3 linked regions of the Alligator mississippiensis genome follow. The protein of the gene in region 3 purifies or fractionates together with the protein of the main gene of each other region. This does not show direct contact. Links are inferred from orthologs where the notes say so. Each region holds a gene or a part of one and is shown on either strand. Other genes may lie near its edges.

Region 1 (7,624 bases), on a different chromosome or scaffold from region 3:
TGGGAGTCTGGAGAAGAAAAAACTGAAGGAGGCTTATCCCTGCAGCAGGAAGAATGAGAGAGATGACTCCCAGTGGCCACATGGGACAGGACAAGGACAGAGATGGCAGCAGGGGAAACTGAGACTGGGAATGTGGGAGGATTTTCTGGCTCTGAGTGGGGGAAGAAGGAAAGTCTCTGTCCTCAGACACAGCTGGGCTGATTTAGCCAGGGCTGGTCTTGTCTAGAGCACCGGTATGGACTAGATGCAACACCCCTGATCCCCGCCACAGCCAGCCTGCCTTCCCCAGCCCACAGACTCATGGCCACCCCACCCCCACTACAGACTCCCAGCATGCTTCCCACCCCCTCCAGATTTCCAACCCCCATTGGAGAATCTCAGCTCTTAGCTTTCTCTTTCTTGACCACAGAAAAAACAAGAGAGAGACTCTTTTCTTGCAAAGGCCTCCCATCACGACAGCTCAGGACATTTTGAACACTATGCATTCCTGTTGGACAACCCTGGGTTTCTCCTGCGAGCTGCCTAATGATGCTAATGAGGCATCCCACTACATGCTTGAAAGGGCTTTGAGGAACTCCAGCACCTGGCTGTTTTACCCTATTGGACCCTTCCTGGTGCTGGTAATGGAACCCAGGTGTCTTCACAGCCCACCCATGCCTACATCTAACCAGTGGTAGGAGGAAAAAAGCAGTTAGGAATCAGTCCTATGATGTGTATGAGTTGTGCCCCAGCTGGAAGTCACCCCAGTTACCATGGGACTCTCCACCCAGGCACGGATGACTGGGGCCACTGGGGAATGACCCAGCCTCCGATACAGCTAGATCTGTCCCCCCGCTTCACCTTGCCCCACTCTGGCTTGAGCTCCACTGTCTTGCAGGCATCCTCCAGCGCTCTCTGATACTCCCCCTTCTTGGCGTAGGCTGCCGACCGGTTGCTGTAGAGCACATGGTTCTTGGCATCTAGCTTGATGGCCTCTGAATAGTGTTTGATGGCCTCAGCGATGTTCCCCGCGCTCAGCGCTTTGTTGCCTTTCTCCTTCAACTCGTTCACCTGAGAGGGAGGGAGAAGGGGATGAATTAGCCCAGCCGGGAAGTCTCCCAGGGGCCACTGGGCTCCAGACAGCCCTGTCCCTACCCTTGGGGTCTCGGTCAGCACATGGAGAGTATCACTGCAGCCAGCTTTGTACCAACTGCCTCAGCTTTCCCACCAAGATGTGAGCTGGCACCTCGAAGGCACAGCTGGTGTGGATGCTGGGGGAAGATACGAACTTCCCAAAGCTGATTCCTGCCTCCCCCTTTTGCCCTTCCCACAGGGTCTTGCCCTGACCCTAAGAGGAGGCAAGACCCTGTAGCCAGCGGCTGTGGTCCCAGCAGCACACGCACAGAGCAATTACAACCTCCAGCCTGGCTGCAGCCAACACCCAGTGCCTCTGGGGAAGGCTTAACCCCGCCCCCCCCCAAGTGGCAGAGGCAGGGCGGTGGCAGCCAGCACTGCCCCGCCTGAAGCCTGGGAAATCTCCACAGTAGAAGAGGCAGCGCTATGCCCCCATCAGCCCCAACCGACGACTGTAAGAGCCTTGAACCCTCCAGTGATGGAGAGTCCCTAGCTCTCCTGCCCTCTCTCCCACTGCGGTCCTGCTCCAGCAGTTAAGTTTTCCCTGAGATCCAACCTAAACCGACTTTACCCTCCAAACTAAGCCTCCCCAGCCTGGTCTATGTTGTGACAAGACTTCCAGCAGGGATCACCCGGTGCCTCTGGAGGCTGCAGCTGGGCAGAAGTCCAGGGAGAGCAGCTCCACAAGTGCTTCCCCGTTGCTAGAAAGAGGCAGCTCGAGCCAAGGAGATCAGGTAGGGAGGAACTGTGCCACGGGGGACAGCTGGGAAGCCATGCATCAGTGCCCACAGCTGCCAGGAAGAAGCATTTCTGACCCCCCCCCCCCCCAAAATGAGTCACTTGATTGCAGGTGCCCGCCTCTGCCCTGGTCTCCAGCCCCTACCTCGCTGCATCCCAGCCCCATCCGGCACCTGAAGCCAAGCTGCCAGCTGCCTTGTGGGGGCTGAGCTCCAAACCGGAGGCCACCCAGAGGGAAATAATTACCACTTCAAGGCCCCCAAGCAGCTGCCTGCGGAAGTGGAAGGAGCAGTAATCCCACACCATCAATACCCCCTCCGCCCCTGCCCAGCAGCCCCCGTCACAAGGGGACAGAGCTGTGCCAGGCTCAACCTCCCAGCCTGGATCTGCCCCAAAGATGCAGGGCTCGGGGCTGCACGTGTGGAAGCCCAGGCCCAGGGCCGGGGACCGGAGTGCAGGTGCGGAGGTGGGAGAACCGGGCACCTGTGAGGAGCAGGGAGGTGCCGACACAAACAGGTCTCAGCTCCTCCAGTCAGGCAGGGGCGGGCGGTGGCCCCAGCCCTGAGCAGCACCCACGGGGCCGGGCCCAAGGGAGGAGGGGGAAAACACGACAGGGAACTCGTTCCACCTGCCCCTGCCAGGGCCTCTTCAGGCTGCAAGGAAGCAGGCAACACAGCTGCCCCCATGCAACCCCCCCAGGCTGCCAGCTGCCCCAGCCCCCCCTGCACAGCTGCCCCCACATCCCCCAGCCCCCCCGCACAGCTGCCCCCACATCCCCCCCACACAGCTGCTCCCACATACCCCAGGCCCAGATTTACCCCAACCCCTTCAGTCCCCACCTTTGCCCCCATCGCCCCCTTCTCACAGTGTGGGGGAGCAGTAGAACCCCCCCCCAATGCCCCCCGCGTCCTGCCCCCCCCCGCCCAGGGGCGCCCCCAGAAGCCCCCTCCCGTGCGGCAGGGCGGGCAGCCCCTTCCCCACAGCCCCCATAGCCCCGCCCAGTAGCGCGCCCAGCCCCTGGGGACCCCTCAAGCACCCCCGTCCCCCCAGATCCCTCTTCTCCACCTTCTCCATGGCTCAGGCCGGTCCGCGACCACCGCTGCCTTCTGGAACCTGCTAGAAAGCTTCCCGGCTCCGCCCCCGCCGCCCCATTGGCCGCCGCCCGCGGGGACCCCACCGCCCCCGAGCCACGATTGGTGGGAGACGCTGTCCGTCCCGGCCCCCGCACCGCCTCGCTGGAACGCGGGGCCCGCCCACCCCGTCCATTCCCTCTTCTCATTGATCCTCAGTACCTGTCAATCAAGCCCTCTGCCGTCCCTCGCTCCCCATGCCTGATGTCATTGGCTCCCGCCTGACAACTGAGCCCCGCCCTCTCTCTTCCGATTGGCTGCTGCTCGCCTCTCAGCGTCCATTGGTCCAACGGCCTTTCCATCCCTCAAAGGCCCCCCTCCCATCCTGGGATTTTGCGTCCTTTCATTGGCTGGCCGCAACGCCGTGACGCCACGCCGGAGTGCGGCGTTCTGATTGGGCCACTCCAGAGAGACGTCACCGCCCGTGGTCCTTTAAAAGGCGGCGCTGAGCCGCTGGCGGGAAGTGTGTCGTGTGGGCACACTGGTTGTTGTGTTGCGCTGTTAGGTGGTCTCTGCCCACGTGTGACCTGGGGAGTTCAACGCGGGGAGCCCCGGGGTCCTGGTGCACTTGGCAGAGCCTGGAGGGCCTGTTCCTGGCAGGCAGGGGATGAGGAGGGGAGGTCTTGTGTTTCAGTCCCCACTCGTGCCCCTGCCCTGCAAGGGGAGCTTGCACAATTACTCGTACCCCTCCTGCCAGGTGCGTGGGCTTTCGCCTCCCCCTGCTCCAGCCCACTGGGGAGAGGTCCCAGGCATCCTGCTGGGTTTCACACTCCCCTGCCTGGCTCGGCCACACTCCAAAATGAGGGCTGTTGCCCAGGGAACAAGCCCCCTCTGCTTGGTGCTGCCCAGGCCCCCTTACTGAGGATGCCCCCCAAGGTCTTGAGGTCCTGTCAGATCCTGTTGCCTCTACGCTTCCAACCTCACTGGGCCTGCCACCTTGGCCCCAGGCCTTGCTGGGCCCATTTCTAGGGCAATGCATAAGTTGTGTAAGATGCGTGTGTCCCTCTGGCACTGGTTCCTATGCTTCATATGCATGACGCGTGTGTGCGTCTCCAACACTCATGTTTTGCATGCCTCCAGTACATGTGATGTCCCGTGCGTACACATACCTCACCTCGGCTCTTGGGCATTCACAATGTCCGTGAACCTGGTGCCCTGTGTGGTCACCACCATGCATGACTGCCAGCTCGGGATCTCGGGGAGAGGCTTTGGGTGGAAGTGCTTGCCTGTGGGACAGCCAAATCTCCCAGCGGAGCTGCCGGGGGTGGGAAGCGGCAGGTAACCTGGGCTCCAGTGGGTGGGTTTTAGGCGAGGGGGTAGGAAGGAGCCAGGACACCTGGGTCTGTCCTGAGATGTGGCCTGGGCAGGAGAGGGCTAGTGGCTTAGGGACCACTGAGGAACCAGGACTCCTGGGTTCTGTCTGCAGTAATGGGCCTGGGGTGCAGTGCCCACAGTATGGCCGGGGGAGGGGCTGGAGCCAGGATGCTTGGGGTCTTTCTATCCCTGCTGTTATCCCTGCCTCAGTTTCCCTGTGGTAAAAAGCACTATCCCACACCCCAGCAGGCTTGTGCAACAGCTTTGCACAGCTCATGTGGCCACCTCTGTTCAGTGCAAAGTGTCTTGTTCTCCTCTGTAATGGGTGCGCGGTTTCTTAATGTGGTTTAAGGTGTGTGATGGAAAGTTTTATGCTAGATGAGATGTGTGTATGTGTGTGTGTGTATGTATATATATATATATATATATATATATATATATATATATATCTTGTGCTCTTCTTCCTGCCTGGAGGTTTCTTTTAAGCTGATGCATGTTCCTCTGGCCCAGGGTTTCACATAGCATGTGGGGCTCAGCAAAAGGCCCTGACTGTCAGCACACAGGGTGTAGGGCTAAACATAGCCCATGGTTGAAGCAGCCAGCAAGATCAGGCAGCCACGAGCTATTTATAGCCCCCACCTCCCCAAGCATTGGGTTTAAATAGCCAGAGCTCTGGTTATAGGGGGAGGGGGGATATGATCCCAGTCCAACTCCAGCCCCCTTTGCAAGGGCATTGCCTTTAGAAGCAGGCAGTCTCCCTGCTTGTGCACAAGGAGGGGGCTGAGGGGGGCAGGCCCTGGAGGCTCTGCTCAGCATGCCAGGAGCTGTAGTTGAAGCCCTGGCTGGCTGCAAAGAGGTTTTGGGCTGGGGCAGGAGGTGGAAGGGGTCAGAGGTCGAAGCATGGGGCTGGGTTTCTGCTCCAGAGGGGGTATCGCACCGCAGGCAGAGAACCCAGGTGTCCAGGCTCCCAGACCTCCCTTACTCCAACCCCTCAGCCCCCACTTCCCTCAGACCAGGGGGAGGCCCCAGGCGTCCGGGCTCCCAGCCCCTTGCTCTCAGTCCCCAGCTCCCAGAGCAGGGAGAGAAGCCAGGCATCTGGGCCCCGGCCGTCCCTCCTCTAACCAGCCCCCCAGGCTGCACTCCCCTCCCGAAGTGGGACGAGAAGGTGCCTGGCTCCCAGCCCCCGTCCTCCCGAAACAGAGCCTCTGCACGGAGATGGGGTTAGGGCGGGGACTACATTTCCCAGCATCCTTTGCATTAAGCTCTGGGCAGAGCTTGCTCCTAGCCCAGCTTTGCTCAAGCAGGACGGATTCCGCCTTCCCTCCCCCCCCCCAGCTAAATACCAGGTGCAATAAATAAGGGAGAAGAATTTCCCTCTTGCACTCAGGGACCAACCAGCGCCGGGAGGGGGGGCATCTCTTTGCGACCATGCCAGTGGCTCTGTTTGGCATTCAGGCCCTGAGAGTGGCAGGGCAGGTGCTGGGGGGCTGGGTCGGGCGCCCCGGGGTGCTGGGGGCTCTCTGGAGGGGGGCAGTTCACTTGGGCGATTGCTCTCTACCCCGGGGCGCGCTCCGGACCTGGGCGGGTGCCCCCCCACTGCACATGGCGGCCAAAGTGGACCTCACCACTTCCACCGACTGGAAGGAGGCAAAAAGTAAGTGCCTGGGGAGGTGGAGGGCAACCGGGCATAGCCCCCTGCTCCCCCCAGGCCTGTGCCCCCTCTGGCTGCTGTAGGTGTGCCCAGCTCCATGCCCTGCCCTTGTCCCTTTGCTAGGCACAGTGTGGGGGTCTCCAGGCCAGGCCTGCACCAGTTTAGGGCGTGCCAAAGTTTAGGGGTTTGTGCCAAGGGGGTGGCAGGACTCTCCGGGCAATGCTGCGGTTTGTGCCAAGGGGGTGGCGGGACTCCCAGAATCCTTTGCACTGAGAGCAGCCGTGGGTGCTTGCCAGCAGCTGCTAGTGGTGCAAAGGATTCTGGGAGTGCCTGCCTGGCGCTGCTGGGCCTAGAGGACACTGAGGCCTAGAGGGTGCCAAGAAGCCCTGGGGGGCAGAGGGCAGGGCTACAGGTCACCATGGAAACAGGCCCAGTGAGGCCTGGGGCCTAGAGCTCACCACCGGCAGGGTGAGGCCTGGTGAGGCCTAAAGCCTACATGCCACCCAGCAAGGGGCCCAGGGCCTAGAAGTTGCCATGGAAAAGGGCACAGTGAGGCCTTGGGCCTAGTAGTTACCATGGAAATGGGTGTCAAGCCCAGGGAGGCGTGGTGGGGGCTTGGCGTTGCTATGGAAACAGCCCGGTGAGGCCTCGGACCTAGGTGTCAGGCCCAGTGCAGTGGGGTGGGGGTGGCTAGAGGTTGCCATGGAAATAGGCCCAGGAGGCCTGGGGCCTAGGACCGACCCACCCCAGAGGCCGGATGAGGCCCAAGGCCTTCTAGTCACTATGGCAACGGGGCCTGAAGGGACCCTTGGGGGACACTGAGGACACTTCCCTGTTGGGTGGGCCTGGGCAGCGCCAAGCTGGGGGCTTGTTCCCTAGGTGACAGCCGTCATTTTGGAGGAGAGCAGTGCCAGGCAGGGGAGTAGGAAACCGGCCGGGCCCTGCCAGGACACCTGGGTCCTCTCCAGCTCTGGGAGGAGAGTGGGGCTGGGGGGTGAGAGCAGAGGGGCCTGGAGCCTGGGACTTGTCCCCCCTGCTCCCCAACTAGTTTGCTGCTCTGCGCCTCAGTTTACCCATCTTCCCCCTTGCAGAGTATCTGAGTGGCCTGAGCCAGAAGCAGCGGCGGGAGCATTACTTCACCAAGGACTTCCTCCCTCTGAAGAGCATTGACACCTGGAAGAAGATGGCTAAGAGTGAGTGTCCACATGGAGACTTAATTTAGATTAAGCCGGGTTTGGGGGAGGGGACAGGTTGAAGAAGCAGGTGTTATATCCAAGGTTAACTCATAGGGCTGGGATAATGGGGGCTCGGAGCCAAAGCTCATGTGGGGAGGGGGCTGCAGGTTGGGAGCGAGGGGCACCGGTGGGCAGGTGCATGGGTTAGGAGTGAGGGGCACTGGGGGAGCAAGGGACTACAGGTCGGGAGTGAGGGGCACTGGCAGAGGTGGGGGGAGGTTGTGGGTTGGAAGCGAGGGGGACTGGCAGGGCTGGGGGCATCAGGGAGCTGCGGGTTGGGCATGAGGGTCACTGGCAGGGCTGGGAGGCTCAAGGGCAGGAGTGACACCCCCCCCGTGCCTCCCCAGATGCCCATGTGAAGCAGCCTGAGGGGGCCAAGTTTCCCAAGGATGCAGCCCTTAATGAGAAGATCTCGTTGCTGCGTCATGACATCACCAAGCTGG
Region 2 (7,458 bases), on a different chromosome or scaffold from region 3:
GCAGCAGCTTCAGGGTCCACGTGAGGTGCCTGCAGCAGCCGGCCCCGGGTGCAGGGCGTGAGGGGAGGGCCTGTCGCACCACTGCCCCTGCCGCCCTGCCTCCCTGCCTCCCAGCCCAGCGCGCACCAGCTGGCGGTCTCCTCGTCTCCAAGGGGCAACTGCCTGCTGCCCCCACCCCTAAGACCACACTCATTCTGCCCCAGAGCCGCTGCCTGGCTCTGCACAGAGCCCCCTGGGGCATTCTTGCCTGCCACAGGCTCACAGCCAAGGAGGATAGGCAGAAACCAGGCACCACGGGCAGAAGAGCCCCTGCACCAGGGACAAGTAGCACAACAGCCCCTGCAGGCACAGGCACTGGACCCATTCTCTGCCCCACCATTACCTCTTCTGGCTGTTCATTGACAGCACCACGCTAGTGCTCTCCAGCTGCACCTTCACCTTGTTGGGGATGAGCTGCAGGGCACCCACACCCAGAGAAGACAGCGCTGTGGGAGCTGCCTCAGGGCCTGAGAGGGGCACAGTCATAAGCCATCGAGCCTAGAGCTCCCCGCTCCTCCCTGGTAGCATCCAGCCCTACTGCCCCCAGCCCAGCTCCCACCACACCCCTAGGGCCGCAGAGAGCCCAGGGGGCCCCAGGTACCCATTCCCCACCCCCACCGCCTCCCCAGGTATGAAGACCAGACCTGGGGCAGGGTCAGCAGGTGGGTCCCTGGCGCGGCTCCGTCTCTCGCTGTGGGCCACCCGGCGCAGCAGCTCGCTGCTGAACAGCCCCTCGTGCAGCTCGGCCTGCAGAGTCCACACGCCCAAGCTGATGCCCGTCAGCTGCCGCTTGCTCAAGCTGACCTGCACAGAGAGGGAGAGCGCCAGCGCCAGCTCCGCCAGGCACGTGTCATCCTGTGGGGGGAAAGGAGGGAGTCGAGGAGCCTGCCAACCTCCCAGGGGAGGCCCTGCTCAAGGCAGAGCTTCCTGCCTGCCCTTCCCCTGCCCAGCAATGCCTGAGCACAGCCTGGTCTCAGCGCCCAGCGCAGGCCACCGCAGCATCCTGCCGCCCCTCCCGGGGACCAAGCCCTGCCCCGTCCTCTGCTGCGGGTTTCGTGTCCAGCTGGCACCTCCCACTAGAGGAGCCCACGTGCTCCGGAGCCGGCTCCAGGTCTCCTGGTGCCACAGCCTCAGCCGCGCTCGGCAGGGACGGCAGCAACGGTGCGGTTCCTCCCAGAGCTCCAGCTGCAGCCCCAGCCTCCTCCCCAGGGGCCCAGGCCCCGACACTCACCAGCTGGCTGCTCCTCAGCACCTTGCTGTTCACCTGCGTCAAGGTCACCTCGCAGTCCAGGCTGGGGGGCAGCAGAAGGGAGATGAGCCCCACCTGCCTCCACTGCTGCCCCAGGCAGGCCCTTCCCTGCCCCAAACCCGAGCTACCGCCGCTGCAACGGGGAGCAGGCTGCCACGGCGCGTTCTTGGGCAGAGGGCACCTGACCCACCCTCAGGAGGGCCCGCTGGGTACCAGCACGGTCCAGGTCCCCGGGGAGAGGGCTCCAGGACCACCACCGCGCGGCCTCGAGCGGCAGATGGGCCAAGCGGTGGCCGTGTGCTGCCCAGCAAGGAGGGGTCACGTGCGAGGTGGGGGCTGGGCAGGGCTCTCCTGGTTGTGGGCAGCTGACCCCTGGCCCCCGCCCGCCGCGTTACCTCCTGCCGTCGCTGTCCAGCAGGAGCCGGGTCCTGGTGACCTGGATGTGCCAGAGCGACTCGGAGGTGGCCATGTGCAGCACCATGATGTTGACGGAGTCCACGTGCACGGAGACGAGCTGAGGACAGGGAGGCAGTGAGGACGGTTGGGGGGAGCCCCCCGCCCCCCCAGCACCCCTGCTCCTCCAGGCCTCACCTGGCTCAGGACTCGCAGCAGGGAGGGCTTCACGGGCAGCTCCCGCTCGCCCTCCTCACCGCCGCCATCCCCGGGAGCCGCGGGGAACGGGGGCAGGCGCCCGGGGGCCTTCTGCAAGTCCAGGCGGATCCGCACCTCCCCGAAGCACAACGCCAGGTAGCGCCTGGACGGGGAAACAGCGCCAGGCCGTGACTACGGCTCCCCCCGGGGCGGCCCAGCCACCCACGGGTGCTCCCACGTGCTGCCCGGCGCAGCCCCGGTGCCAGGGCCGGCGGAGCCCCCGGCCAACGCAGCGGGGATCCCGGGGTACGCACGGCAGGTCGTGGCTCAGCAGCTTGCTGGAGATCCAGACGCTGTCGATCTCCTGCGGGGGGACAGAGGCGAGTCAGCGGGCTCTGCCGCCCGACCGCGCTGCTTTCGGGAGGGCGCTGGGAAGGGGGGGGGCAAGGCCCGGTACCCACCACGACCCGCTGCTCCTGCGGGAACTCGAGGCTGATGTTGCGGAGCCGCAGGAAGCCGCCGACCCGCAGCTCGGCGCGGAGCCGCCGCCGGCACCAGCGCACGGCCAGGCGGCACAGCAGCCACCTGCGGGCGCAGCGCGCGTCAGCGCCGGCCACGGGCACCCCGAAACCTGCTCCCCCCGTGCCCCCCTGGCACCTGCGCCCCAGCCACCCCCCATATTCCCTCCAGCACCTGCACCCCGGGCACCCCCCATGCCCTCCTGGCACCCCACGTATCCCCTCCAGCACCTGCACCCCATGCCCCCCTGGCACCTGCTCCCCGGGCCCCTCTGGCACCTGCACCCTGGTCCCCAGGCACCGGTGGTCCCCCCCGCACCTGCAGCCTGGGCCCCGGGCACCCCTAGCACCGCCCCCGCCCCCCCGCACTGGGCGTGGGCGGGCGGCGGCAGGACCCAGGAGGCGCCCGGGTCGGGGGTCGCGCCCGCCCTCACCGCGCCAGCAGCAGCAGCGCGCCCAGCGCCAGCGCCAGCCCGAGCAGCGCGGCGGGGAGCGGCGGCGGCGGCAGCATGACGCCCCCGGGCCCGCCCGGCCCCCGCGCCTGGCACCGGCCGCTCCGTCCGCCACGGGCCCGGCGCCGCCCGCGGGCCGACCGGCAGCGCGCCCAGAGTGCGGGCGGGCCGAGCGTGAGCGCCCCCGGAGTGAGCGTCACCTGCTGCGCCTGCGCCACGGGGCGGGGCCTGGCGGGAGGGGCGGGGCTAGAGGGGGCACGTGTCCTGGGCTCGGCGAGGCCGGGCTGGTTGTTGTAGGGCGCCGGGCAAAGGGGGCTTTCCACCCTCCCGGGGGCTGGAACCGGACAGTGGTGCAGGGGCGCCCTGCATGTTGCCCCCCTCCTTGCCCATGCACCACCCGAGCCTTCCTCCTCCTGGCAGCTCTCCAGGGGCCATAATTCACCAGAGCCGGCCGCTTTGTCCCGCGAGCACAGGCCAGGCTGGCGTGCCCCAAGCCGTGCCGTGTCCCAGAGGCCAAGTGGGAACCTCTCCTTTTAGGTGTCGGACGCAGGCAGACGCTGCGAACTTGACCATCCCTGGCTGCAGCCTGGGCTTTGCCCCCTCCAGACCCCTGACAGAGCAATGCTGAGGGGCTCGTGGAATAGAGGCTCAATTGTGTCATTTAAACCCACCTAACCCGCACTTGTCCCCTCTTCCAGCCCAGCTTCCCCTTCCTGGTATCAGCACAGCTCCTTTTCTGAGCCCATGTGACATGAAGGAAGTTCTCTGCAGTTTCTTATCTTGCAGCCACTGCTGTTTTTTGGCTGAGCTGTTGCTTTTATTGTTCTGCTTATGAAGGGAGGGCGCACCACCCACCCACACCCCTCCCACAGGAGCTGTTGCTGAGTGTGATGCTTGGAGGGGAGCAATTCTGTCCCCGTGCACATAGGAGCAGAACAAAACTGCGCGCGCCCTTAGAGAAGTAAATTCTTTTATGGCCGAGCTCATCAGCAGTTCGCCCCAGGACGTGTCTGTGCATGAACGTCAGCAATACAGAACTCACAGAGACAAACAAATGAAACCGTGACAGTGAGAACAGGCTCGCTGCAAGGTGATGAAAGCAAGTCACGAATGGTCCCTTTTTCTGTGGGAGTTTGGCTTAGCACCTCTGCAGGAGGGGGGAACCTGCTGTGAGAGGAGCCTGTTGCAACAGATGGAGCCTAGACCAACAGGGATAACGAGACCCAGGCAAGGAAAGAGAAGGGGAACAAGGGCTCTGTTCCCTGGCCTGTGCCCAACTGCTCCAGCAACTGAGAGCTGCTGCAAAGGCTCCTGGAAGCAGAAGGTCCCTACAGGAGCTGAACACTTGTGGTAAAGGTACTGCAACGCTGGGAAGCTCCAGCACAGTCCGTCATAACTCAGAATGGTAGGGATCCATTCTCAGCAGCTCGCTGGGTTTCATGAAGATCCCTTCCATGACCTTCCAGTAGTTGTTCTGGTTAGAGTAGGACATGCCGTGCACTTCCTTCTGGCCGTGGATGGGCCGTCCATACTGCTCCCCAGTCACAGAGAGGAAGACGTCAGTGGAGGAGTGCTTGAACCGCACCTCGCTGTCACGCGCCCAGTACGGCCCGCTGCACACCACCGTCCAGTCATCCAGGTAGTCTCCCTCGCCGTCCTCCCCAAACGCGCTGACCTCCTGGAACAAATGCAGCAAGAGTACAAGGCGTTGACACGTTAGCCATGGCCTAGGGCAGAAACATTCGTACTCGTGGCGTGGGCTGGATGCAGTCTTGGAAAACGAGCTCCAAAACCCCGACCAGGGGCTGAATATGCGGCTCTGCATCAGATGTAAGGGGCATGCCCCCATGTTCCTCCTCCCTCCCCACAGGGACATCATCATCTTGTCCAGTTGGGAATGCAGCTCAGCCCCAGGATAGCTTCACAGCTGTGAACACAGGCAGCACTTCCCCAAGAACCTGCCTTTCCAAAGCAGCGACTAAGCGCCTCCCCTTCCCTCTGCTGCAGGGAGAGCACGCAACCCTGTCCCCTGCCCTAGGTCTGCAAAAGCACGATCCCGCCGTCACAGGAAATCACCAGTCCAGCTATCAGCCAGACCTGGACTCATCTTGCTCACGTCCAGGCAGAAGCACCAACCTCTCGCTGAGGAGAGACATGTGTAGGTGAAGGCCAAGCCAGCCCCTCGGCAGGGAACGGGAGCAGCGTGCGGAGGCGGCCGCCGGGTCCGACCTCCAGGACTTACCTGGTTGCCTGAGAGGGGCGAGGTGAAGTGGTGGCTGTGCAGGTTCCTCCCCGTGTTGATGTGGGTCAGCCGGATGGACTGCCCGCACTTCACGGGCGTCCCCCTCCCGCACACCGTGGAGGTCTTTCCCCGAATCCTCCAGTAGCTGTTGCTGTCGTCCACGGCCGAGACGCCCGTCACCGACTGCTGCCCGCTGCCTGAGCGACCGAAAGGGAAACCGTGGGATCTCCATCGCCGGAGGCGCTCAGCAGCGATGCCCCTGCTCCGCCCCGGGCTGGGCTTTGCCAGTTGCCACGTGGGGACGGGGAGCAATTTGTTCCCCTCCTGCTACTAGGTGTATGGGCGGGGAGAGGGGGGCATTTTCCCCTCTCCCAAAGGCACCCAGTGCGGCTGCAGCCCAGACTGGGGACGGCGCTGCCCCTCCCCCCCCCCGGCCCCGATCCCCAGTGCCCCCCCCCCCCGGCCGGTACCGGATCCGTAGCGCACGTCATGCGAGTGCAGCCGCACGTTGTGGCGCACGTTGAGCAGCTTCACGACAGAGCCGCAGGTGACGGCGTCGGGCTCGGAACCACCGCCCGCCGCCGCCGCGCCCAACCCCAGCGCCAACCCTAGCGCCAGCTCCGCCAGCAGCAGCAGCCGCATCCTCCCCCCCGCCGCCGGAAGCGGAAGCGGCCCCGCCGCGCCGGAACCATAGAGTGCGACGGACGGAAGGGCCGGAAACCCCGTGGAGGGTGGGGGCCGGAAGCGGAAGTGAGGCTGTCTCCGCGCTGGGAGGGCGCGGCTCGTCTGCTCCCCTCTCCGCAGCGGCGGAGGCCTCCATTTTCCCTTCGGCCCCGAGCGGCAGGTGAGGCCGCGCGCGGGGCTCCGGCGGGGGCGGCGGCGGCTTCGCCTCCCCTCGGCCACGGCCGCGGGCGTGTCCCCTCGCGGGGCGGCCGGGGGGCACTGGTTGCCGTGGAAACCGGGGGTGGGGTTGCCGTGGAAACCGCGGGGGCGAGCGAGGGGGCCGCACGAGGCCTCGGGGTCTGCCCACCAAGCCCCGCAGAGAAACAGCCCGGGCCCGGGGCGCCGCCGCCCCCCCTCCCCCCGGGACACAGGGCCGCCTCTCGCTGCCCGTGAAGGCCTCTGGGTTACTCCACGGCCTCCCCTTCGTCCGGCTACGTCACGGCCCCGGGCCACGGGCCTCAGCCGCCGCCCCGACACGGGCGGGCGGGCGGGCGGGGCGGCCAGGCCGCCCGGGCACTCGGCGTCGCTACGGGCACGCGGCGCGGCCTGTGTCCCGTGGGCCGGCCCCCGCGCCCCGGGGGGTCCCGGGCCCGAGCCCTGTTCTGCGCGCCTGCGGGTCTCCTGTCCGCAGCACCGGACACGGGGTCTAGTGGGCTGCGCTCCGCGGAGACCGGGCCAGGTGCGGACCCTCGCCTGCCAGCATGGGGGTATGCGCAGTTGTGCGCCGTAACGTGCATCGTGTGCACCGGAGCATTGTGCGCAGTTGCGCACCATAACATTATGAATGGTTGTGCACCATAATGTGCAGTTGTGCACTGTACCATTGTGTGCAGTTGCGCACCATAGCGTGCAGTTGCGCACCGTAGCATTGTGCGCAGTTGCGTACCATAGCGTGCAGTTGTGCACCATAACATTATGCATGGTTGTGCACCCTAATGCGCAGTTGTGCACTGTAGCGTTGTGCACAGTTGTGCACCATAGCATGCAGTTGTGCACCGTAGCATTATGCACAGTTGTGCGCCATAGCATTGTGCACAGTTGCGCACCATAGCGTGCAGTTGTGCACCGTAGCGTTGTGCGCAGTTGCGCACCGTAGCGTGCAGTTGTGCACCGTAGCGTTGTGCGCAGTTGCGCACCGTAGCGTGCAGTTGTGCACCGTAGCGTTGTGCGCAGTTGCGCACCGTAGCGTGCAGTTGCGCACCGTAGCGTTGTGCGCAGTTGCGCACCGTAGCGTGCAGTTGCGCACCGTAGCGTTGTGCGCAGTTGCGCACCGTAGCGTGCAGTTGCGCACCGTAGCGTTGTGCGCAGTTGCGCACCGTAGCGTTGTGCGCAGTTGCGCACCGTAGCATTGTGTGCAGTTGCGCACCATAGCGTGCAGTTGTTCACCATAACATTATGCATGGTTGTGCACCATAGCGTGCAGTTGTGCACCGTAGCATTGTGCGCAGTTGCGCACCATAGCGTGCAGTTGTTCACCATAACATTATGCATGGTTGTGCACCATAGCGTGCAGTTGTGCACCGTAGCATTGTGCGCAGTTGCGCACCGTAGCGTGCAGTTGTGCACCATAACTTTATGCATGGTTGTGCACCATAATGCACAGTTGTGCTCCGTAGCATTGTGCGCAGTTGCGCACCATAGCGT
Region 3 (7,900 bases):
AAGTCTCTGAACCAACCTGTAAATTCAGTTTACTTGCAGCTGTTTCAGTGCATTGCTAGTATGGTAATACAGAAATATGAATCACTGCATTGCTCCTCTCTCCCCGTTTACCCAGCCACAGTGATCAGAAGTATTCCTGCCTCCTCCCTCCCCGCCACAGTGGACCACACTGCAGTATATTCAGGCAAAGCTTAGTCTAGAAACAAAACATTTTTTTATCCTGGTCATAATTTTCATTGCATACTGAATTACAGAAGGCCAGAAAGAGCGAAAACAGACCTGCAGACTTATTTGAAATGATTCACGCGAGCTTTCAAATAACCCACTCACCCTGTAAAACCCATAGTAAAACATTCGGTCTGTAACTTGTAGTCTCCCTCTGTCCAAGAATGCCAATAGAGCACTTCACACAGTTCAACGTGCTTTACACATACAAGTGCTAATTCTGTCTCTGAGGTAGCTAAGAATTACTCTTGTTTTGCAAAGGGATCAACAGGGCCAGAGAAGTTAAGCAATTTTCCTTAACAAAGCAATGGCAGAGATGAGACTGACAGGAGGCTCTTGACCCCAGGCCTCTGCTCAAATAGTCTTTAAATTCCAAGCTCTCTGAGAAGGCAGCAGTAAGCCTGGAAGTAGCACAGAAATTGTGATGATGCTGAAGCCGTGTTGCAGTACTGTTCCCTCAATAAGAATCACCCAAAGGGAGAACATAGAGCTTGGGAGCCCAACACTCAGAAAGAAACATATTGTCGGAGAACTGAACATTCGCAACCTAGGACCAGAATCTGTCTTACTGGTTACACCACGGTAAGACAGTGGAGGTCAGCCAGGTTACCTTTGCTCTCCACCCCTGAAGGATTCCTTTACTACAAGCCAGGAAACCACTCTCCTGAACAAGCTCAGCTTTTCTGTTTCCGGACCAGTACAAGTCCCTTTTCACAGGTTCTGGGGCACAAGAAAGGCTGGTACTAAAGGTCGCTGTAACTGAAAGACTGAGCCCGAGTCACGATACCGATCACATTTTACACTCAACCACTGAAAGCAAAGCCTTGGAGACAATAACAAAAGCAACAGTATTAGGCACAATAATACTGAGTAGTGATTCACACACAACTTCTCCAGCACTACTATGTCCACACCTCTCTGACATTCTTTGTGTCCAATGCCCAATGCCCAGATGCTTTAAAAAACATATTTTATATTTCTCTATGGTGTTGAAGTGCTTCTAGTGTTGTCACTTGGCCCTCCACCTTTGACAGTTAATAAGTAGCATAACTACCTCAGGCCCCTTCAGTTTAATTTCTTTCCAGGCTTCCATCGTTCAACCAGGTCTCTGCAAGAACCCACCTTCAGAGATTTTGTTTTTTCTTTCTGGTGATCACAGGCTACAAAGTTTCAGCCTGGCAGGTTTAAACCCTGTGGAACCAGCACTGTGTTTTCTATAGGCTGTCCTTTTCATTTCACCTCCTGCTGAGACTATAACAGGTCAGCAGCAGGTGGCAACAGAAACCTTTGCGCTCAAAAAGAAAATTCATAAGCAAGGGAAAAGGCTGGGATTCCACTGTGCCCAGTCTCAGCCAGTGGTATCTGCACCTCTGGGCAGAGTCTGCTGAGTAGCTTTAGAGATGAAAGAGATTTGGCCTTTCCACAGATAAAATAAGCTTTAATAATAACCAAGGGGAGGGGGTGGTAGCCAAGAGCTCGTTCGTACTAGTATTTTCAAGACTGGATCCTGTACTCCAGTATACATACCCAAAGGCCCTTTTCCAAGGAAGCAGGGCAGCATGGGACAGGTATCTGAGGGTGTGGCTGAGACGTAGGTTGCTCTGGGCTATCAGGAATCTCTGATCATACAAGGTGAAGGAGGAGATGCAATAAAATAGAAACTATGAAGTCCCAGGGCAGTAAGTATGAGAGAAGGGGAGGGGATTTTGTGCTAAGAGTCTTCCCTCCTGCTTCTTTCCCACAGGCTCCCAGCCAAAGGATTCCCCTCCCCGCCCCATACATGGATTAACCCTTTAGCGTTGCTTGTCGGAGAAAGCCTTCAGACACAAGGCAATGCTGCCCCCACACAGGGATGATAAAGGCTGGAGCGTGCCACCTCCACAGCACTCCTGTCCTGAAAAGGAGCCAGGTTTCAAAGCCCGGCTTTGCTGCTTTTCTCCAGCTTGCTTCCTTTTAAGCACAAGACTGGGCAGTGGAGAGCAGGGGCTGCTCAGAGGCATCAAGCTTGGATTGACCCAGGACAGCCCTCAGCACATGATGCCACACGCAGGCCAAAACCACCCTGACCACAGGGGCGCCCGGGCGGCTGCAGGACACTCCCGCTGAACACAGGGCAGGGGCCACAGATCCTGCAGCAAGCCAGCGCCGACGGGGTGGGGGGGCCAAGGGCTGCAAGGTGGGGCTGCGCAGCCAGCACCCGGCCCGGGGCCCGGCTGTGGGTGGGCGGCCAAGGGAGCACAGAAAACGTGGGGAAGAGAGCTGCTCCCGCAGCCCCCAGCCGCCTCCCCTGGCAGACAGAGTCCTAGGAAGCGAGGCTGGAGGGACCTCGGGAGGGCGCCTCGCCCGCTCTCCCCGCTCAAACCAGCAGGGCTTCAAGCCTGGAGACCCCACCGCCTGCCCTGCTCCGCTGCCCTCCCGGGGAGTCAGCTCCTCCTCACACCAGCCTCGTCTCCCCGCTGCAGCTGGCTCGCGGCTCTCCGCATCCCCTGCTGCTGCTGCTGCTGCCCGGGGGAGGCCCCGCAGGGCCGGGCACCGCCAGTCCCAGCCCCAGCCGCTCGGGAAGGGGGGGACGCGCCTCCCCCGCGCCCTGACCCGACCCTACCCGGCCCGGCCCCCGCGCAGGCCGCCCGCTACCTCCGCGCCTCCTCGTCGCTGTCCAGCCCGCCCGGCCCCTCGGGCGCCGCCATGATCACATCGCACTCGGCCGCCGCCGCCGCCATCTTACCGCCGAGCCGGGACCCGGGCAGGGGAGGCAGGGAGGAGCGGGCGGGGGGGAGGGATGGGGCCGGAAGAGGCACGGACTTCCGGGAACGAGGAGAGGCCCCTGCGGTCCGCCAAGACGGACTCCGCGTCCGACAGGGGAGGGGGGATGAGAGCGGAGGGTGGCAGGAGATGGCCCGGGGAGGGAGGATGTGCGAGTGTGTGAGTATGGGTAGAGCATAGGATCTTGAAAAGGGGGTGCAGAGGATGTGGTGCATCATGGCATATAACACACATTTTTCCTCAGTGAAAAAAGAAACTAGAAGCTGTACTAATAAGCCAGGGGCCTTGGACTGCATTGTTCAGTTTAAGATTGAATAAAGGTGAGAGGGAGGAAAGCCTCTATTGGAAGATGCCATCATTTGCTAGCTCCCACATTAGGTGCGCAAATGCAACAGGCGAGGCAGAAATAATCCAAGTCACCTCGTTCACCCCGCCGGCATTCGAATGAAGTGGACCGCCTCTCTTGCAGGGTCAGAAAATGCAACCTGGCCTTCCTGATCATCTGGATGCTGCCTCCAGCACTTTGCTGAAAGTTAACGTTCACTTGAATTAGTATTTCCAAACCAGAGTGGATGTTTTTGGCTAAAGATAAAAACAGGCTGCAGGAGCAGATCCCAGACAGCAGAGCAGCAGCAGAAAGGCTAGGTGGATTAGTGGAAACATGGTAGAAATAGAAACGGAGGGACCTCAGGAGTCATCTCGTCCAGCCCCCTGCTCAAAGCAGGACCAGCCCCAACCAGATCGTCCCAGTCAAGGCTTTGTCTATCCAGGGCTTAGAAACCTCCAAGGATGGAGAGCCCACAGTCTCTCTGGGTTGCCTGTTCCAGTGCTTCGCCACCCTCCCAGTGAGAAAGTTTCTCCTAATATCTAACCTCAATTTCCCTTGCTGTAACTTGAGACGGTTGCAGCACTGGAAGTATGCCCAGTGATATGATATGGCAAGCACCACCGTGTGCTTGCTGCCCATGCAGTGCTGAGGACACTGAGTAGCATTCCTAGGTGCAGCTGTGACATGGATCATAAATCACAGTAATACTGTTGTTCTGAGTGGCCTCCAGCTGCAAAACATCTTCCCCCTGTACCACCCCCATGCAGCACCCAGCCTTAGCAACACTGAGGGATAATAATTACCTGAAGTAATAATTAAGATCTTAAACACCGAACTGCAAGCATGCCTTATAGCCTGTTTCTGCAAGGACCTCTGCTTGGGCAAGTGCAGGGGTTCAACTGGGAACTCACTGCATAATCAACCCTGTCTCAAACGTCTGGGTGACACTCAGTTCTAGTTTCACACCTCTCCTTTTCCTGCCCTTGTCTCTTGGTATCTTCCATTTCTGAGGCCCTTCGGAGGACCCCCCCCCCCCCCCCCAATTATGCAGATATTTGCTGTCTGTGGCAGGGTGGCAAGCATGGAGCAGAAAACAGCCCTTCATGGTTGGATTGGCAGGATCAGGGCTGCCTTGTATGGTTGCATTTAGCTGACCAATCATTGGAGCAATGGCCAAATCTTAATTTTCTGTCGAAATTGCTGCCTCCTCCATAAATAATTAAATATTCCTTATAGCAATGATGCCTCTTAAATTCATCGCTCTCTCTCCTCACCCTCAAAAAGTCTTTGGCATGAGCCTTTAGCACAGGGGTGGGCAAAACGTGACCCACGGGCCAGATGTGGCCCACCAGGCCATTCTATCTGGCCTGTGGGGGCCCTAAAAAATTTAGAAAAGTAAATTATCTGCCCCTGGCTGCCTGTCGTGCGGCTCTCAGTGGCTTGCCAAAACTCAGTAAGCGGCTCTCCACCGGAAATAATTGCCCGCCCCTGCTTCAGCAACTGAGAAATCATCTCAAATGCTCTTAAAGCTGGAGAGAAGCTCGGTGGTCACTCTAGCACCATGGTGAGGTAACAACATTTCAGGCTATTGACACATGTCTGCAGCCAAAAGGTTTCACTCACTTCAAAATCCTCAACAACGTCATGTGCTCCAAGAAAGGAAAATGTCATCTATCATCTGTCTGGTTCTATCTAAAAGATGTATTTTTTAAAGCTTTTTCTTCAATGTACAATGGCCTTGTTTCTCTTTGTCTCTTTCCTTGCTGATTCAGTTAGGTACAATGCTACCAAGCCTTCTGCCTCACTTCAGACTACATGGCTAACTACCTCCCTTTGGTTTTCTTGTCCTACTTGCCCCAGGTTTCATGCAGTCTGGTGGAGGCAGATCTGAAGAAAGGGATTGTGTCAGTCAAGCCTGGTTTGTAGGGACACCAGGGGCTCAGCCTTGAAAGCTGGAAGTCACTAGTCTAGCACAAGTCTATTATGTACTGCAGGCCTCTGTGTGGGCTCAATAAAGATCCCATTTCCACAGCTCTGCCTGCCGCCTCCCTTAGTATTAATGTTACTACCTATTACTCGCAGTTCACTTGTCTTCTGAGATTGTGCACATGGATGGACAGGTTCTCTTTGGTCTAGAATTACTGCATCTGATTTATTGTGGCCCAGTCTAGGAGCAGGAAGGCACTGCACAGCCCGTGTGCAAGGACTCTAGATGGTGCTGTCTTGCTGCACTTATCCCGTCTTGCCTCATGGTTGCACTGTCTTGTCCTCTGTGGTTTCCCCTTCCTTGATAGTTGCAGTGTGAGCCGTTAAATAGGAAGGTTTTAGAAGAGAAAGCAGGAAGAGCCTTCAAGAGAGCAGAGGTAGGTAGAAACCACTCCTGGTAGCAATGTGTAGGGCCATCTGGATTGTGGGTGCAGACATGCACAATTCACAGATGCCTTTGAACAAGAGCTGGCTTCTACTGGGAAACTGGTGCAGCCGGACGCTGGCTTCCAAGAACAGCCGAGCTCTTCATCATTGTCACCCCTTCATGTTGCGGCAACCCCGGTCAGGGTCAGGACCCTGTTGTATCTGGCACTGTGCACCCATGCACACCTGCCACAGTGAGAACATGGGCTCTGGGGCCAGTGGTTTTCCCTTGAATGTCCGTCTGCTTCTGGGCTTCAGCTGGATTTTAAGTCATTTGCATGTGTATTAGTTCCCTGTCTGGGATCTCTCTAGGGAGGGTGTGTTTGTGTAGAGGGGTGCGGGTGTGCAAGGGGGGTTTGCAGAACATGGCCCCCACATGCTCCCTGGCACCGAGATATTAAAATCACAGAATGAGGCAGAGGCTTGGGAGAAGGAAAAAGGCCTATTTGCTCCTTGGAGCCTGCTCTGTCCCCTGTCATGCTGGCCTCCGAGCCTCAGAAATGCTGGCAGATTTACCCTCATGATCCCACAGGGAGATGGGGAGAGTTATGCCCACTTAAAAAATGAGGAGCACCAGAGTAGAAATGCAATGACTGGTCCAGCAGCCATAGACAAAGCAGAGAGTGAACTCATGTCTCCTAGCCTTGCCCTATGGCTATATGGCTATCCTTCCTCCTGTCTCCTGCCAGCACAAGAGCTTGAAGGGGGCATGTGGTGGGCAGGGGGGAGCGGAAGAGACTTACCAGACACTCGGGGACTGCTGCTCTCTCCTGGGCTGATCCCCACCCCTTCTGGTTGTGAAAAACATTTCACTTTCTCCCACCCACACAAACCACAGAGTCAGTCTAGTAGTTCCTGGAAGGCAGTTTCCGCGGGTCTAGGGTGGAAGGTGGAAACTTTGTAAACTTTATCGCCCTGCTCAACCATAGGCAGAGAGGAAATTGGGATCAGGGGCACTGGGACAATGCCTGTTTCAGGTGAAAGTCCCCATGGGACCTTAAACATTCACACAGAGCCAACAGGGCTCCTGGCTTTAAGATCTTGGTGAAATGACCTGTGGGGTGTGGATGGGGAATCCTGGCCCTGATGGGATTCATATCAGTGGTTCCAGGCAGAGAAGGGACATTAAGCATAGTGCTAAGTCACTGTCCAGCCTAAAGTCTTGACATGCCCCTGGCATCTGTGCTGGGCAATGGCTTCACATCACAGCCAACATCCTGCCCCCTGCTGGCCAGAGGAATAAGAAAGCAAGGGTGCAGCCCTCTCCCTTGGCAGTGGAGGATATGCAGTGCTGGAGAAGCCTGGCTGGGCTCCAGGCCATGCGGTGCATTCTCCTGGCACTCTCCCGTCCATTCTCCTGGCACTCAGGTTGCAGCAGATGCATGCCTCAGCCTCTTCCTCCTCCTTGCCTAGATTAGAGCATCAAGATGGGGAAGAGCTGCAAGGTCGTGGTGTGTGGCCAGGCCTCCGTTGGAAAAACGTCCATCCTGGAGCAGCTCCTTTATGGGAACCATGTGGTTGGTAAGTCTGGGAGTGGGGTGGGTGGCCTGTAGTGGGCCTCAGGGGCAGGGGGGTGATCCTTCGGGCCTCCTCATTCATTACAGGCTTTGTTCTCTGTGGGCTGTGAAAGATGCAGCAGCAGCTTGACCATACCAACCATTAGTACACAGCCTGGATATTTGTGAGAGACCCTACAATAATAAATCAGCACCTGCCTCTCACTAGTCAGGAGGCAGATCTTACTGGAACTGCCCGGCTCTTGAGAATAAAATCTACCATTTAAAAAAAAAAAACTAGCATGCAGATGTGTGGAGGCTGGCAGAGCAATGAGCAGGGGAAGTGGGCAGGCAGGTTTCACTCACTGTCAGGGTCCCAGATGAGGTGAGGGTATGGAGAAGCCCCTGGAGATTTGCCTTCAGGGTCTGTCTTCTCTTTGCTTCAGCAGCAACACAAGAACTGCATCTGTGGGAGCCCCTTTATGAGCAGAGAGCTGGGTACAAGACAGGCAAAGGGCAGGGATCTGTTAGGCGTGTGGTGGTAGCTAAGGGCCACCTCTTGGGTGCAAACCTGATGCTGAAGTCATGGCCCCTGCTAACGAAGGGCTTTGCAGCCAGGTTCCCTGTGTCACCCTGTGCCTTCCTGCAGGTTCAGAGATGATAGAGACCCAGGAGG

What was found.
Region 1: the proteins of DNAJC7 (region 3) and STIP1 purify together in Homo sapiens (affinity purification with mass spectrometry; 4 studies listed by BioGRID and IntAct, with this or other methods). This does not show direct contact. The link is inferred for Alligator mississippiensis from reciprocal best matches to the Homo sapiens genes DNAJC7 and STIP1.
Region 2: the proteins of DNAJC7 (region 3) and BLTP2 purify together in Homo sapiens (co-immunoprecipitation; 3 studies listed by BioGRID and IntAct, counting the BioPlex papers as one, with this or other methods). This does not show direct contact. The link is inferred for Alligator mississippiensis from reciprocal best matches to the Homo sapiens genes DNAJC7 and BLTP2.

The regions. Positions count from the first base shown.
Region 1 is NC_081838.1:4,559,916-4,567,539, forward strand, and holds the start of STIP1 (stress-induced-phosphoprotein 1), read right to left. Parts: upstream 3,002-7,624; 5' UTR 2,926-3,001; coding exon 2,917-2,925; intron 1,051-2,916; coding exon 841-1,050; intron 1-840. Other genes in the region: ADP-ribose glycohydrolase MACROD1, read left to right, coding at 5,724-5,949, 7,038-7,139, 7,529-7,624. UniProt on the Homo sapiens protein: Acts as a co-chaperone for HSP90AA1. Mediates the association of the molecular chaperones HSPA8/HSC70 and HSP90.
Region 2 is NC_081837.1:1,061,774-1,069,231, forward strand, and holds the start of BLTP2 (bridge-like lipid transfer protein family member 2), read right to left. Parts: upstream 3,002-7,458; 5' UTR 2,909-3,001; coding exon 2,832-2,908; intron 2,465-2,831; coding exon 2,341-2,464; intron 2,244-2,340; coding exon 2,194-2,243; intron 2,043-2,193; coding exon 1,880-2,042; intron 1,803-1,879; coding exon 1,684-1,802; intron 1,332-1,683; coding exon 1,271-1,331; intron 895-1,270; coding exon 684-894; intron 507-683; coding exon 383-506; intron 30-382; coding exon 1-29. Other genes in the region: SDF2 (stromal cell-derived factor 2), read right to left, coding at 4,240-4,527, 5,092-5,288, 5,562-5,733. UniProt on the Homo sapiens protein: Tube-forming lipid transport protein which binds to phosphatidylinositols and affects phosphatidylinositol-4,5-bisphosphate (PtdIns-4,5-P2) distribution.
Region 3 is NC_081827.1:162,909,480-162,917,379, reverse strand, and holds the start of DNAJC7 (dnaJ homolog subfamily C member 7), read right to left. Parts: upstream 3,002-7,900; 5' UTR 2,946-3,001; coding exon 2,860-2,945; intron 1-2,859. Other genes in the region: NKIRAS2 (NF-kappa-B inhibitor-interacting Ras-like protein 2), read left to right, coding at 7,156-7,249, 7,874-7,900. UniProt on the Homo sapiens protein: Acts as a co-chaperone regulating the molecular chaperones HSP70 and HSP90 in folding of steroid receptors, such as the glucocorticoid receptor and the progesterone receptor.